Linked DNA regions of Rhinolophus ferrumequinum. The protein of the gene in region 1 binds, or shares a complex with, the protein of each later gene. Links are inferred from orthologs where the notes say so. Each region holds a gene or a part of one and is shown in the gene's direction. Other genes may lie near its edges.

Evidence for each region. The genes of interacting proteins can lie anywhere in the genome.
Region 2: the proteins of KCNMA1 (region 1) and LRRC26 are in contact, whole or in part, in a cryo-EM structure (PDB 7YNZ), measured with the Homo sapiens proteins. The link is inferred for Rhinolophus ferrumequinum from reciprocal best matches to the Homo sapiens genes KCNMA1 and LRRC26. Residues at the interface, in NP_001154824.1 of Homo sapiens: Pro78, Cys79, Asp80, Ser81, Arg82, Gln84, Trp88, Ala92, Ser93, Val96, Thr97, Glu155, Trp158, Met159, Ser161, Val162, Trp165, Cys206, Leu226, Leu227, Phe229, Gly230, Leu231, Phe233, Ile234, Asp251, Phe252, Pro256, Phe259, Val260; in NP_001013675.1 of Homo sapiens: Gly204, Cys205, Gly206, Cys207, Ala208, Arg236, Leu237, Ala249, Phe250, His252, Cys253, Ala254, Gln255, Leu257, Arg260, Asp261, Leu262, Val264, Val265, Tyr266, Leu268, Gly269, Pro270, Ser272, Phe273, Ser276, Leu277, Cys280, Leu281, Leu283.

Annotation. Positions count from the first base shown.
Region 1 is NC_046299.1:54,351,346-54,359,336, reverse strand, and holds the start of KCNMA1 (calcium-activated potassium channel subunit alpha-1), read left to right. Parts: upstream 1-4,978; 5' UTR 4,979-5,174; coding exon 5,175-5,537; intron 5,538-7,991. UniProt on the Homo sapiens protein: Potassium channel activated by both membrane depolarization or increase in cytosolic Ca(2+) that mediates export of K(+). It is also activated by the concentration of cytosolic Mg(2+).
Region 2 is NC_046295.1:83,281,622-83,288,360, reverse strand, and holds LRRC26 (leucine-rich repeat-containing protein 26), read left to right. Parts: upstream 1-4,587; 5' UTR 4,588-4,700; coding exon 4,701-5,691; intron 5,692-5,773; coding exon 5,774-6,090; 3' UTR 6,091-6,228; downstream 6,229-6,739. Other genes in the region: ANAPC2 (anaphase-promoting complex subunit 2), read left to right, coding at 20-149, 267-502, 575-787; TMEM210 (transmembrane protein 210), read left to right, coding at 3,058-3,145, 3,312-3,447, 3,685-3,714, 3,875-4,073. UniProt on the Homo sapiens protein: Auxiliary protein of the large-conductance, voltage and calcium-activated potassium channel (BK alpha). Required for the conversion of BK alpha channels from a high-voltage to a low-voltage activated channel type in non-excitable cells.

The DNA of each region.
Region 1 (7,991 bases):
TTTACATCTAAAGGCCTAGATGTAGCAGTTTTCTTTTGAAAGGTTGGGGGGTAAAGTTGGGAGCAGCTTTTTCATATTATATACACAGGCCTTCTATATACGGCCAGTAAATCTTCCCAAAGGGTGGTGGGCACTTCCTGTTGGCCAACTGTGGTATATTGTTGTGCCTTTTCTTTCTTCCGTAATCAAGGTCTGGTAGAACGAAGACCAACCGCCCGATGGCCCACTAACCCTTCCACCCGTCGTCGACTGGGTCCTTTCTGCTCACCTTCCGGGCCCATTATGGCCTTTGTCCGTCGTTGTCTGTGCGAGGTGAGATCTCATCCAACTGGGTTAGAGGAGTTACCCCAAGTCCTGCATCTGCGCGGCTCGAAGGCCTAAGGGTGGGCCAGCTTGCGACCACGTAGACCCGCCTTCTGGGACCCCCGACGGTCCTAACGGCCCTCCGCGGCATTCGAGTGGCCGCCATTCTTTTCGCCCCTCCACGCCCTTCGCTCAAACGCTTGGCGGGGCTTCGCCTAGGCCCCGCAGGGTTGGGCCAGGAGACCAGGCGATCGGTGGGATGTGCGATCAGAGAAGCGCCGCCATCAGGTCGCGGAGATGGAGGTGGGGGTAGGGCGAGAGGTTCGCTGCTGCTTCAAGGCCTGGGCCCAGCCAGTGGGCAACCGCGGCTCGGAAGGGGTCTGGGTCTCTGCAGGACAGAGCCTGCGGCCTGTCCCTGGGCCCCCCCAGCTCACCTCCCAGCCCGAGGCCGGAGGGCCTGGAGGGGCCCAGAATAGAAAGCCGTGCTCCGCTTCTCACCACGTTCTCTCAATTAATATTATTTTGGTTGCATGTTTTTATAGCAGGGCTTTTCTCTTTGGAATTTTCAAATCCAATTTTTGTTTCAGTAATACCCCTTTTCACATTCACAAAATGATGTCTTGTACCGGGAAGACTCACCAGAGGGCGCTAGACCACTTACAGAGTCCGCCCGACTTTACCCCAGAAAATCACAAAGATTTAAGTCAGAATGAGAACTGAAGCCAGTAACTCCTGCGCTCTGCTGCAGCCATTACATTTCATCTCATGTAAGGTGTGTCTGCAGGCTGGGAATTAAGGGCCATTGCACAAGGACTGAAAGCCTATACAATAGAAATTTTGGAACTGGTTCCAGGCCCCAGATAAACGAAATCCGGACTACATTAATTATGATGTTGGGCTGACATTTAATTAAATAAGCTGCTTTGTCCTCCTGGGTTATTACTCTAGTCACCCCGCTTTTTCAGTTCATGTTGGTGCACTTTTATTTATGTCCTTTAGATCAATTGGGATAGTTCAGATTAGAATTCTTTGGAAACTTGAAACCTTGGTTTGCTTTGAAAGCTGCCACAGGCACATGTTCACATGATAAAGAGGCCGACCTCCTCTCTGAGACGCTTATAAATGTATTTAGAAATAAGTAAGTGGCCCGTATTGTTTTCAGAACAGAGGAGGTTGAAATGTCTCTTGTAGTTTAGGCTTTCAGTCCTGTGCCTTTCAGTCCCAGTTTGCAGACACACCTGCAAGAGGTGAAATGTACCGGGGTTATTCATAGGTGTTTTTCCACATTCTTTGCATTTCCGAAGCCGCCTGGGGCAGTGGGAAGGCAATGCGTGGGCATACGTGTCAGGGTTCAGAGGGCCCACTCAGGCTGGAGTGGCTCTGCGATGCCCTGTCCACACCTGGCTGTCTGTGAGGCCCTAGGGGCCGTAGTGTCACTGGCAGAGTGAAGCAGTCACTGGCCTCTTGGGGGTGCAGGACAGCAAAGTGGGGACAGGTAGCAATAATCCTGCCCTCGGGGTGTGGTGGATCCTGCCCTTGTGGGGGAGAGGATCTGGTCCGAGTTTGGCTGTTTTGGGGTCACAGTAACAAGATCTACATATTTTCTTTTTCATCCTTACAAATGACCCTCTGAGGTGGGCAGGGCAGTTCCTGGTTTTATTCCGCTTTACAAATGAGGAAACACAATGAATGAAAGGTACCGAGGGTTCCTTTTAAGTTTGATGTTCCATCTTGTCTGGGTAGAAACTCTTCCTCAGTTGGTGAAAGAAACCAGTGCCAAGTTTACTGAACCTGGCACAGACGTTTGTGGATGAGAAGGAAGGAGCAGGAGAGAGCTGGGCAAAGGTCTGAGGAGGTTTATTTCTGGTGGATGATGGCACTGTCTCATTCAGCGCCTACCAGTGAAAGCTCTTGGGAAGGTGTTGAGGGACTGGGGATTGCAGGAATGACTTTGACAGTGAAGGTCTCTGATGAATACCAACTAAACCTAGGTTTTAGATAACGCAGAAGTTGCTAAAATCTTCAATCAGCACAGACAGGGGTGATGAAGAGAGCAGATGATGGCTAGGAGCCTCCCGGCATGTTCTGAAAGGATGATGAGATGATGAAGGTGATGGTGGAAGAGAAACACAGCTGGAGGATTTCGCATTTGGAGCAATAGAAGTCACAGCAACCAGTGGCCTGCTGCTAGGAGCCCCAGACTGCATTTCAGGGGAACCCAGGCTGTGGGGGAAGTCCAGGAAAGCCTGGAGGGGATTCGGTGGTTTGCAAAGCTCAATTTTGTGAGGGAGGGAATCCATTCTGGGGGTTTTATATGCCCCTGGGGAAACCGTTCTTTGCTGCTCTTATATTATGGATGTTTCGTTTTTAAATTTCAAATCTTGGACTTGATTTAAGGAAAGTCTTTAAATTTCCTGACATATACGGAGGCCCAAAGGCAGCAAAGTACAGTCCTTTAGAAGGCTAATAAAATCAGGGAACCTCAAGGCCATCGTCACTTTCTTGTGCATCCCCACAGCACTTCTACAGGTGACCCCCAGGCGACCTCTCCCCAACCCAGTGCTGGAAAGACCCCGGGCCTTTGCATGTGTAGGATGGATTGAACAGGGATGTGTTCCGAGTGGCTGCTGAACGTGGAAGACGAGGCTGGAGGTACCAAACGGGTGACAGACAATTTCAGTTTCTGGAAAATACTGTGTGTAGCTCCATTTTACATACTGCTTTTGAGTACCAAACACTGGAGAATTCTACCTCATTCCACTTCCCCCTTTGACCTTGGCTTTGACTCTTTTCTAATGGATGTGTTTCCTGAGACCAGTGAACGTATGCCGAATAGCAGGAGAAGCTTCACACATCCCCTTCAGCCTCTCTGCCCAGCTGGGCTTCCCTCGCCAGGTCCTGCCCTGCATCCCAGGGCCTCCAAGGGCGAGGGGAGGGGCTGAAATCTGGCTCAGGCAGAAACAGCATTGGCCTATACAGTGAAGGATGCTAAGTTCGCCCTCATCACAGGAAGGGCTGAAAGGAACTTGAGAATTCCAATTAAGCCTAAATTAATGAGCTGGAAACTTTGGGGAAACCATTGTGGGCAATGAGGGGAGAATGTGACCATCTTCCTTTTAACGAGCACTGGAAAAGCTTGTGGTCCAGCTGGTAGCCCAAGGAAGAAGGGCGGTTTCCAGAGGGAGCCGGTTTCTTAGAGTATCAGAAGGGGGATTACCCTGGTGGTGAAATGATAGAGGCTGTTTAACACACCCGACTCCTTCATCTTTAAGAGGGAGAAAGGAAGACCCTAAGCGGGGAAAGGTGGACTTGAGTGGAGCCTGGAGCACCTCTTCTCGCAGCTGCCCTCCTCACATGATGAAGTCTGAAGCTAGATAAAAGAAAGTGACTTTAGGAAACTCTATTGCCTATTGGAGCCTGCACAGCCCCTGAGGCCAGGCACCCCCTACCCCTCTCTGGATACCCTCGTAGGCAGCCTCTGTCCCTTTCATTGGGAAAAGGCAGAAAAACCACCTGCTGCTGTCAAGGCCACAGACCACCCGCCAGCCTCTGGGATGGCCCTGCCTTCCAGCCATGCACCTGGCACTAGAGCACCTATGAAGGGGGAACGAAAGAACGAACTAGGGATCAGTAGGGGTCGAACTAGGGTGTGTATCTTGAAGAAGGGTCCTCCTCACTCCCGAAGCCCGAGGATCCTGAGCCCGAGGATCCTGTGGAATCGAGTCCACAGCTGGTCATTCCTCCCCTCCACGCTACGGTCTCCTTTGGGAAAAATGGCTTGCCATGGGGGCCCGGCCAACCTCTTCGGGTCCCCCAGGGCGCTCTGCGGGGGTGTGGTGGTGCGGAGGGGGGAGCACACTGGAGAGAGGTGCCGGGTCCCGCTCTGGGCTTGGGGTGCTCCATCTCGCGCACTGGGGGTCAGGAGTGCGTGCCGAGGGGTCAGCCTGCCCCGTCCAGCCTAAGCGAACCAGCGCTGTGAGCCTCCTTCCCTCCCGCTTCGGGCGGTAGAGTCCGCGCCCGTTCTAGTTGCTGCAGCTGCAGCTGCCGCTGCTGGCGGCCGCGGGGAGCGCGGGGCGCGCGCCGAAGAGGCTTGGGTGGCGAGGACGGGGACGAGGAGGAGACTGAGGAAGCGAGGAAGAACGAGCGGAGGCCGAGGAGGCTCAGCCGGGTGGCGATGCGCTCAGGGAGCATGGACTAGCGGCGGCGGCGCCCGGCGACCGGACGCGGTGAACCTGCCGCGGCCCAGTGCGCACGGGGGTGGCGAGCGCAGCAGGGGGAGGAGGGCTGGCGCGGGGCTTCCGAGCGGAGGGGGCTGATTATGCATTATTAACGAGTTGCCGCCTAATAAGCTAAGAGCCGCTCGTTAGCGGCGCGGGCGGCGCGGGCGGCGCGCGGGGCGGGGGTCTCGGGCCGGAGCACAGCGCACACGCGTGGCGCACGGCAGGCGGCGCGGCAGCCGGGGCACCCGGGCCCGCGCGCTGAGCCGGGGCGGGCCCGGGGGCGGTGCAGACCCCGGGCGCGGGCGGCCCACGGCGTCCCCTCGCTTTCTGCGCTAGGGGCCAGCGCAGCCCGGGGCGAGAGGGGCGCGGGCCGGGGAGGGGAGCTGCCCGCGCGCTCCATCCCCCTCCCCCCCGGGCGGGCGGGCCGGCGGCCTGGGGGAGGGCGGGCGGCGGCGGCTGGCTGTATATATCTCCGCGCACCCCGCCAGGTCGCGCACAGCGCCCCGAGCCCAGGCGCCTCCCCGCCCCCCTCCCCGCGCTCCGCGGCGGCGGCAGCAGTAGCAGCAATATGGCTGTTGATGGGTGTTCGGGGTGGCGCTGGCGGCGGGAGGAGCTCCCCCGAGCCCCTGCGCCGGCTGCCCGTTGCTAGCTATGGCAAATGGTGGCGGCGGCGGCGGCAGCAGCGGCGGCGGCGGCGGTGGCGGCGGAGGCAACAGTCTTAGAATGAGTAGCAATATCCACGCGAACCATCTCAGCCTAGACGCGTCCTCCTCTTCCTCCTCTTCTTCATCCTCCTCCTCTTCCTCCTCGTCCTCGGTCCACGAGCCCAAGATGGATGCGCTCATCATCCCTGTGACCATGGAGGTGCCGTGCGACAGCCGTGGCCAGCGCATGTGGTGGGCTTTCCTGGCCTCCTCCATGGTGACTTTCTTCGGGGGCCTCTTCATCATCCTGCTCTGGCGGACGCTCAAGTACCTGTGGACCGTTTGCTGCCACTGCGGGGGCAAGACGAAGGTAAGGCGCGCCCCGGCTCCCGCCCCTTGCGCCAGCCCCGCCGCTCCTCGGCGTCCCCGGCAGCCCACCTCCTCGCTCCTCACGGCGCCGAGCCTCCCTCCATCCCTGCCTGCCGTCCCCTGCCGCCCTCCCTTCCCTCCGCTGTCCCTGCGCCTTCGGATTGGGACAGCGGGCGGCGCGCCGGGGGTGAGGAGCTGCCCCTAACCGGTGCGCCCCTGGACGCGGATCTCCAATCCTGACCCCTTGTTTATTGTAGGGCTGTTTGCGGCTGCGGCCCGGGCCGGGGTCGGGGACGCGCGCCGTTCGGGTGCTGTGGTTTGGGGTAGGGAGAGCCAACCCCGCGGGCGCCCAGAAAGCTGGGGGCCGCTGGGTGCGTGTATCGCACGGCTCACCTGCCGCGGCCGGGCTTCTGGCGGTGGGCGAGGGCGAGCACATCAGCCCGCACTTTAGAAACCTGTTGGGGAGATGAGTTAGTGGAGTCAGAAGGAAGGGAAAATCCTTTGGGCAAGGAAGCAAACCTTTTGGACTAGGGAATCCCGGGGGAAGAACATGGCCAGAGGAAGTGGGGAGGGTCTGGGGGTCAAAAGAAAGTTGGGGAGATGCACCCAGTTTTGGAGGCAACCATGGAGGCGGCCACTTTAGGAGTGTGGTGAGGTCGCACATCTGCTGTCACCTCCCTGTCCATCCTTTGAGAGATTCTCGTGGAACATACTCCCCACCTCAAGTTCTGGTGCATCTGTATTCTCGCCCCCACGCCACCCCCTCAGGACCTTGGAAATGCCACCAGCAGCGTGGAGCTGGAGCGGAAGGTCCGCGGGAGAGCCGGCCAAGGCCGGGGTTTCACGCGGAGCCTCCTCTCTGACGCTTTTGAGGTGGCTGGATGTCGGGTTAGGCTATTCCTGGCGGCGCAGAGACGCCCACCAGCACTGAGGCTCACTACACGTTATGTATGGTTGCTAGGCTGACTGCCTGGTCTACTGCCAGGTCCCTACAGATGTCCTCTTTTCCCCCCGCTGGCTGAAGGTGAGGGGTGGGGGCAGTTTTTCATAGAAAACTGCAGAATGAAAAAAGAAAGAACTGGAAAAAAGAGTGACCCAAGCTATCCTCTGTTTGAGTAATTCCTATCCTAGGGACTTCCCAGTGCCAGTATTTTCAGAGCAAGGGGAGCCCAAGGGGAGTAGGAGAACAGTGCAAGGCAGAGGCAGCTCTCCCTCAGAATGTTCACAGCTTTTCTAGGAAAGTTAATTCAAGGACCCCTCAAACTCCTACAGGGCACAGCAACTTGTCGCAGCCTCTTTAGTTGCTTCAGGAAATAGTAGGGAAGCCAGGGGCTGTGGGTGACACATGAGGGTGAGCCAAAGCTCCCTCTCCTAAACATTAATTATACATGGTGTTGGGTGCTGGAGTTCAGCTGTGTTTTGTGGCAGCACATTTGTGTTTTGGAAAATACTGGTGTATTGGAAATAAAGGGAGAAAAATAAAAGCCATCACTCTCTTCCTCCTCCGGAAACCTCCAGCGGTTGCCTAGCCAGTTCTCTTTGGAGTTGCCATCTCAGCCACAGAGGTTTCTCCTTACTTGTCAAGGTGGAAAACCTCACGCATTCCAGAGAAGCTGTCAGATTACGCAGAATCCTACCCATGAGACCCTGAGACCATGCCCCTTGCCTCGCCTACCTAATAAGCACTTATTCATAGTCTTTTTATCCACCCGTTTCCTCTCCTCCACCTCCCCCACAGTCTTCAGCCCTGGAGTTTATTTTCCTTTACTGAGATTCAGTGTCTGCCCTTAGGGGAAAGATAGCTCATAGTTGTGCAAATCTAAAATGTTCTCTACACTGAGTGATTCTGGTGAACTTTTTAACAGACTCCTTATCTGGTAAGGAACGAGGTGGTAACTTTTTTTCAGTGAGTCGCAATATACTTTGAAAGTGTTTTTGTGATTCTGGTGTTTTGAACAGTCTCTAAGTTTTCTCGCTCTAGGGGCTTCATCGGTGCCACTGCATTGCCTGTGATGAAATGCTAATTGTACTGTTCACATAAAGAGTCTCTTTCCTAAATGATGACCAAGCATAACTTCTGTCAGTTTTCTCCAGAAAATAGGTTTTTGGCAATTATCGTTAGCAAAAACAATCCCTACATATTAGACTATAGTTTGTAGTTCCGAGACCTGCGGAGTTGACATAACTGGAAGTTTCTACAAGGAATCAGCCTGGGATGAGAGATGCTTGCCGTTGGCTGGGAATCTGTGAGGCCGATGTGAATCAGGTCACTTTTGATACCGTTAAAGTTCATTTTAAACCATGCTTAGAATCTCTTAATACTTGCCCCTTAATCTGTTCAATTAAACCTAGTGGAGCCAACTCATTAGACCCAGTAATAATAACTTAGGCCTTTTATAAGGGTTTCTGTCTACCCCGGAGATCTGTATTTTTACTGCAGTCATGGTTTTTTGCC
Region 2 (6,739 bases), on another chromosome or scaffold:
TGACTCCAGCCCTCCCCAGGCCATGCGGACCCTCAGCTGGAAGCACACCCTGGGCCTGGTGACCATGGATGTGGAGCTGGCTGACCGCACGCTGTCTGTGGCCGTGACCCCTGTGCAGGCTGTGGTCTTGCTGTATTTCCAGGACCAAGGTGAGCCAACTGCCCAGGCACTGCTTACCCGGGGGGTGGGGGTGGGCAGGACGTGGGCCACCCCTTGCCGTCCCCTCCCCACCGGGCCTAGCCCAGCGTGCCTGGCCGCCCCTGCAGCCAGCTGGACCCTGGAGGAGCTGAGCAAGGTGGTAAAGATGCCGGTGGCCCTGCTGCGACGGCGCATGGCGGTGTGGCTACAGCAGGGCGTGCTGCGGGAGGAGCCTACTGGCACCTTCTCTGTCGTGGAGGAAGAGCGGCCCCAGGACCGTGACAGCATGGTGCTCCTTGACAGCGACGATGACAGTGACTCGGGCATGGCCTCCCAAGCCGACCAGAAGGAGGAGGAGCTGCTGGTGCGCCCATGGGACTGGGGGCGGGGCCGCGAGCAGGGCCACGGGCGGGGCTGACGGCCGCTGTCCCCGCAGCTCTTCTGGACGTACATCCAGGCCATGCTGACCAACCTGGAGAGCCTGTCGCTGGAGCGCATCTACAGCATGCTGCGCATGTTTGTGGTGACGGGCCCCGCGCTCGCTGAGATCGACCTGCAGGAGCTGCAAGGCTTCCTGCAGAAGAAGGTGCGCGAACAGCAGCTCGTCTACGCCGGAGGCGTCTACCGCCTGCCCAAGAGCTGCGGCTGACAGGCTGCCGGCCCTGCCCTGCAGGACGGATAGCCAGGTGCTGCGCACACCCTGCCCGGTCCCCCACTCACTGCCTAGCTCCCAGAGTGCACAGTAAAATGGTTGGTTCTTCATCCTTTCCTTGTCTTGGTGGCTTTGTGGGCCCCTCATGGACACATATACAGGTTCTCCCCCCAGACCAGCCTCTCCACCTCAGCTCCCTGGCCTGCCCGCCTGTGTTTGGGCCCCAAAACACAGTTCTGCATGTGGGTGCCCCCAAGGCCCACCATGCAGGCAGGAGTGAGCACCAGGGCTTAGCTGCACTCTAGCCGCCTACAGCGTGCCAGCTCCAGCCGCACTCATCTGGCCTTTGAAAGGACCCCTTGGGTCACCCTCCCTCTGCATGGCCCGAGGGTCCAGCCCTCAAGGGCTGGGCCAGGAGCCCCAGGGCTGCCGCTGGGACATGTGGGTCCCATTGGAACATTGGAGGCGGCGCAGGCAGGCTGTTTCCTGCTAAGCCAGGAACTTCTTGCACCCCTAAGCGGGATGGGCTGCCTGGGACACGCCCTGTGGTGGGAGGGAGCAGGCATTTGCTGTCCCAAACTAGAGTCAGGCAGCCGCAGTGCTCGGGGCTCACAGTGACATGTGCTTTCGGGAAGGCCACTTACCCCCACTCCCCAGAGGTGTGGTCAGGACGAAGGGCCTGTGAGCCCAGCTGGTCAGCGCAGCACCTTTCCAGGCCCCACCCTCATCCTGAGGTCCCAGAAGGTGGGGGCGTTGGCCCTGCCCAGGCCCCAGGCCTTCAAAGCTGCACCAGGCACCACAGCCTCAGGCAGCAACTGCTCTGGCCTGGTGGCACTGTCCTGGCAGTCGACAGGCCCTGTGGAGGGAGCACCTGCTGCCTGGACAGCCCGCAGTCCCCACAGTCCGGCTCCACAGGGCCCTGAGTGGCACTGTCCCCCAGGATGTCCCCTTCATGCTCCAGAGCATGCTGATTGCCACGGCCTGAGGAGGACACGGTGGGAATGAGGTCATGGCCTCAGCAGTTGGAGGGTTCTGACCCGCCGTCCTCTCCTGTGCTGTGGACCCAAGTGGGGGGCTTCCCACTGTCCCCTGAGTTCTGGGGGAGGCCCGGGCAGTTCTGACACCAACACCCACCGTTGCCTCCAGGCCAGCCCCCACTTGGCACCAGGCTGGATGTTCCTTTGTCTTCCTAACCAGGATGCAAACCGGTTGGACTGGTCTGGCAAGGTGTCAGTGCCAGCCCCGGGCACAGGCACACCTGGTCTTTCTCCCTTTGAACTTGGTCTGGGGACGAGTGTGGTATAACCCAGCGTGTCTTGGGTCACAGCATCATTCAGCAGGCACAGTGGAGTGTCAGGAGCTGCTGGTTGGCAGGTCCCCGAAGACCCCACCAGAAGGCGTCCCCAGCCCTGTGGGGTCAGCCGTGGGGGGGGCACTTCCTCTTGCTGCCCGGGTCGTTGGAGGGGGTGGTGCGGAAGAGCAGGGAGGAGGCTGACCACACCGGCCTGCAGGCGAGTGCTTGCCTGGTCTGCAGGACGCCTCATGGGACAGACTCTCTCAGGGGTGGCAGGCAGGTGCTGAGGAGGCACTGGGCTCTGACATTGAAGCTGGAGCCTCGAACGCTGCCTGCAGCCATTTCTGAGCCACCTGCCCCGAGAGCAGAGTGTTCTGGGAAGACCTGTGAGCAGCAACGCACACACACCTCCTGGGGGATGGTGGATCCCCTGGGAGGCCGTCCAGCCCCGGGCATTGCTGGGGTATGGGTGGGACCCTCCTCAACACAGCCAGTGTGGGGGCAGCAGGTGCAGCTCCCCCACTGGCCAGTCTCAGCCCCTGCTTGTCCCAGCCTTGGGGGAAGGGTGGTGACATCAGCCAGCTGGAGCCCAGGCTTCACCCTTGTCCTGAGAGACACTGAGGCCAGGGGCTGCCTGCTGTAGACCTCCCTGGGTTTCTGGGCCACTGTGTTCACGACCTCGCTCGCCCCCTTCCCTATGAAGCACCATCCCCACAAGACCAGGGCAGCCCCCACCCCATTGCCTCTGCCTCAGACCTGGCCAGGAGACAGGAGTGGCTCCTAGGCCCCATCCACCCTATCTGCCCCACCCCGGGACTGCCTGCCCAGGGTTCCTGGAATCCCAGTGCACCCCAGGGCGAGTGAAGCTCCAGCAGAGGCCCTGCCCCCACCCTGCCTGCCTCACAGCCTCACTGTGAGGTCAGCGCCTTCCGAGGAGTTCCACCAGAGGTGTGTGGTGAGGCTGGGGCTGGACATGGCCCCCTGTCCCCGGCCTGTCCCCGGCCTGGTCGGCAGCCCCCTTGGCCTGATATGTTTGTCCCTTTTGCTCTTCCCTGCTGCAGGTGCTTCCTCCAGCCCCTGAACCCCACCCCCAGCCAGGGTCCCTCCCTGTCCAGGCAGGCTGGGCACACTGTCTCCTGGTGGCCAAACGGGGTTGGGGGTGGCCCTGGGGGTCCTCCACCAGCAGGTGACCACAGCCCCTTGGCCACACGGGTGCTGTTTCTGCAGCTGGAACCTACTGCGAATGCGGCCTTGGCCTCAGCCGTGAGGCCCTCATTGCCTTGCTCGTGGTGCTGGCTGGGATCAGCGCCAGCTGCTTCTTTGCCCTCGTCATCGTGGCGGTCGGTGTCATTCGAGCCAAGGGGTGTGTGAGCCCCAGGGCCGGGATGAGTGGGTGAGGGCTGAAGGGCAGCATGGTCTGCCCACCCTGGGCCCTCAGTCTTCCCAGGAAAAGGGCGTCTGCCCCCACACCCAGTGGGGCACAGGGGCCCAGGCATGGCATTCCCAGACTGTGGGCTGGGGAGAGGTGTGAGGGGCAACTCTGGGCTCCTGGAGCCCAGCCCTGTTGTTCTAGGATTCACACCTGCCTTTGTCTCCCCAGTGAAACATGCCCCGGACACATGGACAGAAGGTGAGTGACCCCAAGGGAGGACCACAAGGGTGAGCTGTGCCCCTGCTCCCTGCCCCCAGGAGCACTGATCAGAGGGCCCAGCCACCCCAGGTGGCCAAGACCTCGTGAGCCCATGTGGACGGCCGCCCACAGCCAGCCTGACCTGGCCCCTGTCGTGCAGATTGGTGGGGCGCTTTGGAGTCCAGGAAGACCGCATGGACCTGCAGACGGTGCACGTGGAGTCCCACCTCATGGACCCAGACCTGGAGGTCTCCAGGATGCCGCCCCTGGAGGAGCAGGGCCTAATGGCCATCCCTATGGACTCAGTGGTCCCATCTGCCACTCTAGAGGAGCTATCCTGTCCTCCCCCACCTGAGTAGGGCTGCGGGCAGCTGGGGGAAGGGGCATTAAACAGTATTTAGTGGTTCTGCGCTGTGCAGCTGCGTCACGGGGTGAAGAGGGGTCTGTGGGCCGCTCTGTCAACTCCTTTCTCGTCAATGGGGGTGCAGTGTCCACACCAAGCACCGCTGTCTCCCCTCCAGAGTGGGAGCCACACCCTGGTGTTTCCACTTCCTCCTGCAGTGGCCTCAGTACAGCTCCTCCCCACATCACATCTTCCTGCTGCTCTGTCCCATGAAGCTGGCAGAGATTCTGAGCCCGTCCACCCCGCCCCCACTCTCAGAAAACCCCAGTACACAACCTGCAACTGTGCCACTCCAGAGGGAGCAGCGCTTGACACGAGGACTTGGGCTGGTGCCCCTGCCCCACCTACACTGTCCCCTTGAGATTCCAGGCAAGTTCTTAGCCGGGTGACTGCCTCCCGGCACAGCCTGCCAGCCTATCCCCTGGGCTCAGGCCCCCATCGTGCTCATGCCCCCACCAATCCTGCACCAAGAGGATGGGTCCATCCCATGTGGGGGGCACTGTATGTGCACTAGGCTCAATTATCTGAGCTGGAAACTGGGGTGAGGGGCAGGGCCCACTGCGTCCTGTTCTGCGCTGCACCCATGGTGGGTGGTGTGTGTATGGGAGTGGGTGTGAGATCCAGCTGTTCAGGCTTCAGCGGATGGTGGATTACGCAGGGGGCGAGGGCGACTTGTAGCACCGCTTCTGACGTGGAGCCAAGAGAAGCCCCGAGCTCCAAGCTCCGGACAGGTGCTGCGAGCTGGCTAAGTGCCCAGCCCCGCCCTAGGCGGGACCAGCCGCGGGACAGGAACTGCCAGCGCTCGGGCCGGAGAGTTATTTGTACCAGCGCCGCAGGTACGGACGGCCCTCAGGGACACACGAGAAGCAGGCCTCCCACCGCGGGTCCCAAGGCTGCTCCCATGCCGAGTCCCTCCTCTCTGTCGCGGCGCCCGCCGCCGCTGTTACTGCTGCTGCTGTCGCTGTGGTCAGTCTGGGCTCAAGTGCCCGTCGCAGCCACCCCCACGGCAACCCCGGGCTCCCCGGACTGCCCCGAGGCGTGCGCGTGCGCGCCGGGCGGCCAGGCCAACTGCTCGGGAAGAGCGCTGTCCGCGGTGCCCGTGGGCCTGAGTCGGCGCGTGCGCGCGCTGCTGCTGGACCACAACCACGTGCGCGCGCTGCCGTCCCGAGCCTTCGTGGGCTCTGACGCGCTGCGGCACCTGGACCTGCGCGAGAATGGGCTGCGCTGGGTGCACGCGCGGGCCTTTTGGGGCCTGGGCGTGCTGCAGCAGCTCGACCTCAGCGCCAACCAGCTGGAGGCGCTGGCGCCTGGTACCTTCGCGTCGCTGCGCGCGCTGCGCGCCCTCTCGCTAGCCAACAACCGGTTGGCGCTCCTGGAACCCGCGGCGTTGGGTGCACTCCCGCTGCTGCACGCGCTCAGCTTGCAGGACAACGAGCTGTCTGAGCTCGCGCCCAATCTGCTGGCCGGCCTGCCGTCTCTCAACGCGCTGCGCCTGCGCGGCAACCCCTGGGCCTGCGGCTGCGCGCTGCGCCCGCTCTGCGCCTGGCTGCGCCGGCACCCGCAGCCAGCGCCAGGTGAGCCCTCGGGGCGCAGGCGGGCCGGGGAGGTCACTGCAGCTGCCCCGCCGCTGCTTGACGCCGTGCCCATGTTCCGCAGAAGCCGAGACATTGGTCTGCGTGTCGCCGGGGCGCCTGACGCTCAGCCCCTTGACTGCCTTCTCCGACGCCGCCTTCAGCCACTGCGTGCAGCCACTCGCACCGTGGGACCTGGCGGTGATCTACGCGCTCGGGCCGGTCTCCTTCCTCACCAGCCTGGCCACCTGCCTAGCGCTGGGCTCGGTGTTCACCGCCTGCCGCGCGCGCCGCAGGCGCCGCGCCGCCGCCAGCCGCCCACGGAGGCGACCTCTGAACTCCGACGTCGGCTGGGCCTCGCCTGCAGACCCTGGGAGCCCCGCTGCCGCCGCTCAAGTCTGAATGGGCCGTGGCTGCCCTCCAGTCTTTCCCCTCTCCCCTGCCCTCCTTCACAGTCCCTGCAGGCGTCAACAAGCGACACAGACCGAACATTTCGTGACATTCTTTTAGGCATCACCACTGCACACACCGGGTCAGGGGAACGGTGCGGTGCGCGCCAGGCCCCTGGGGCGGAGGGTCAGCGTGCGGCTGCAAAAGGGCCGCAGGGGAAGGCACGGGCTCGGACACGGGAAGGGCTGGGCCTGTACAAGGTGGCGCGCAGGGCTGAGGACAGTCCCGAGCCAGCGACTAGGGAAGCGCATGTTGTGCTGCATGCCGGTGGAGGCGAAGAGAAGGCTCAGTCCTCTTGGAGTCTGGAGAAGGTCTGGAGAAGGTCGGAGGCAGCGGGAAGGAGGCGGAGCAAGGCCCTAGGAAGCCGCTGCCAGCTGGGGAGTCAGGCTCTGCCCTTGGGGAAGGGCAGAGCCAGTTCAGTGAATGGGGTCAAGTGGAGAAAGGGGAGGGTAAGAAGAGGAGCAGGAGTGGAGCCGAGGCTGTGCGGAGTGGGCGCTGCAGCAGGGGGTGACCCAGCCAGCAGGGGCCACAGGCCCCGACCGTGGCTCTGGTGGTGGCTGGGGGAGGATGGGGGCTTCAGTCTCTGCTCCAAGCCCCTCTG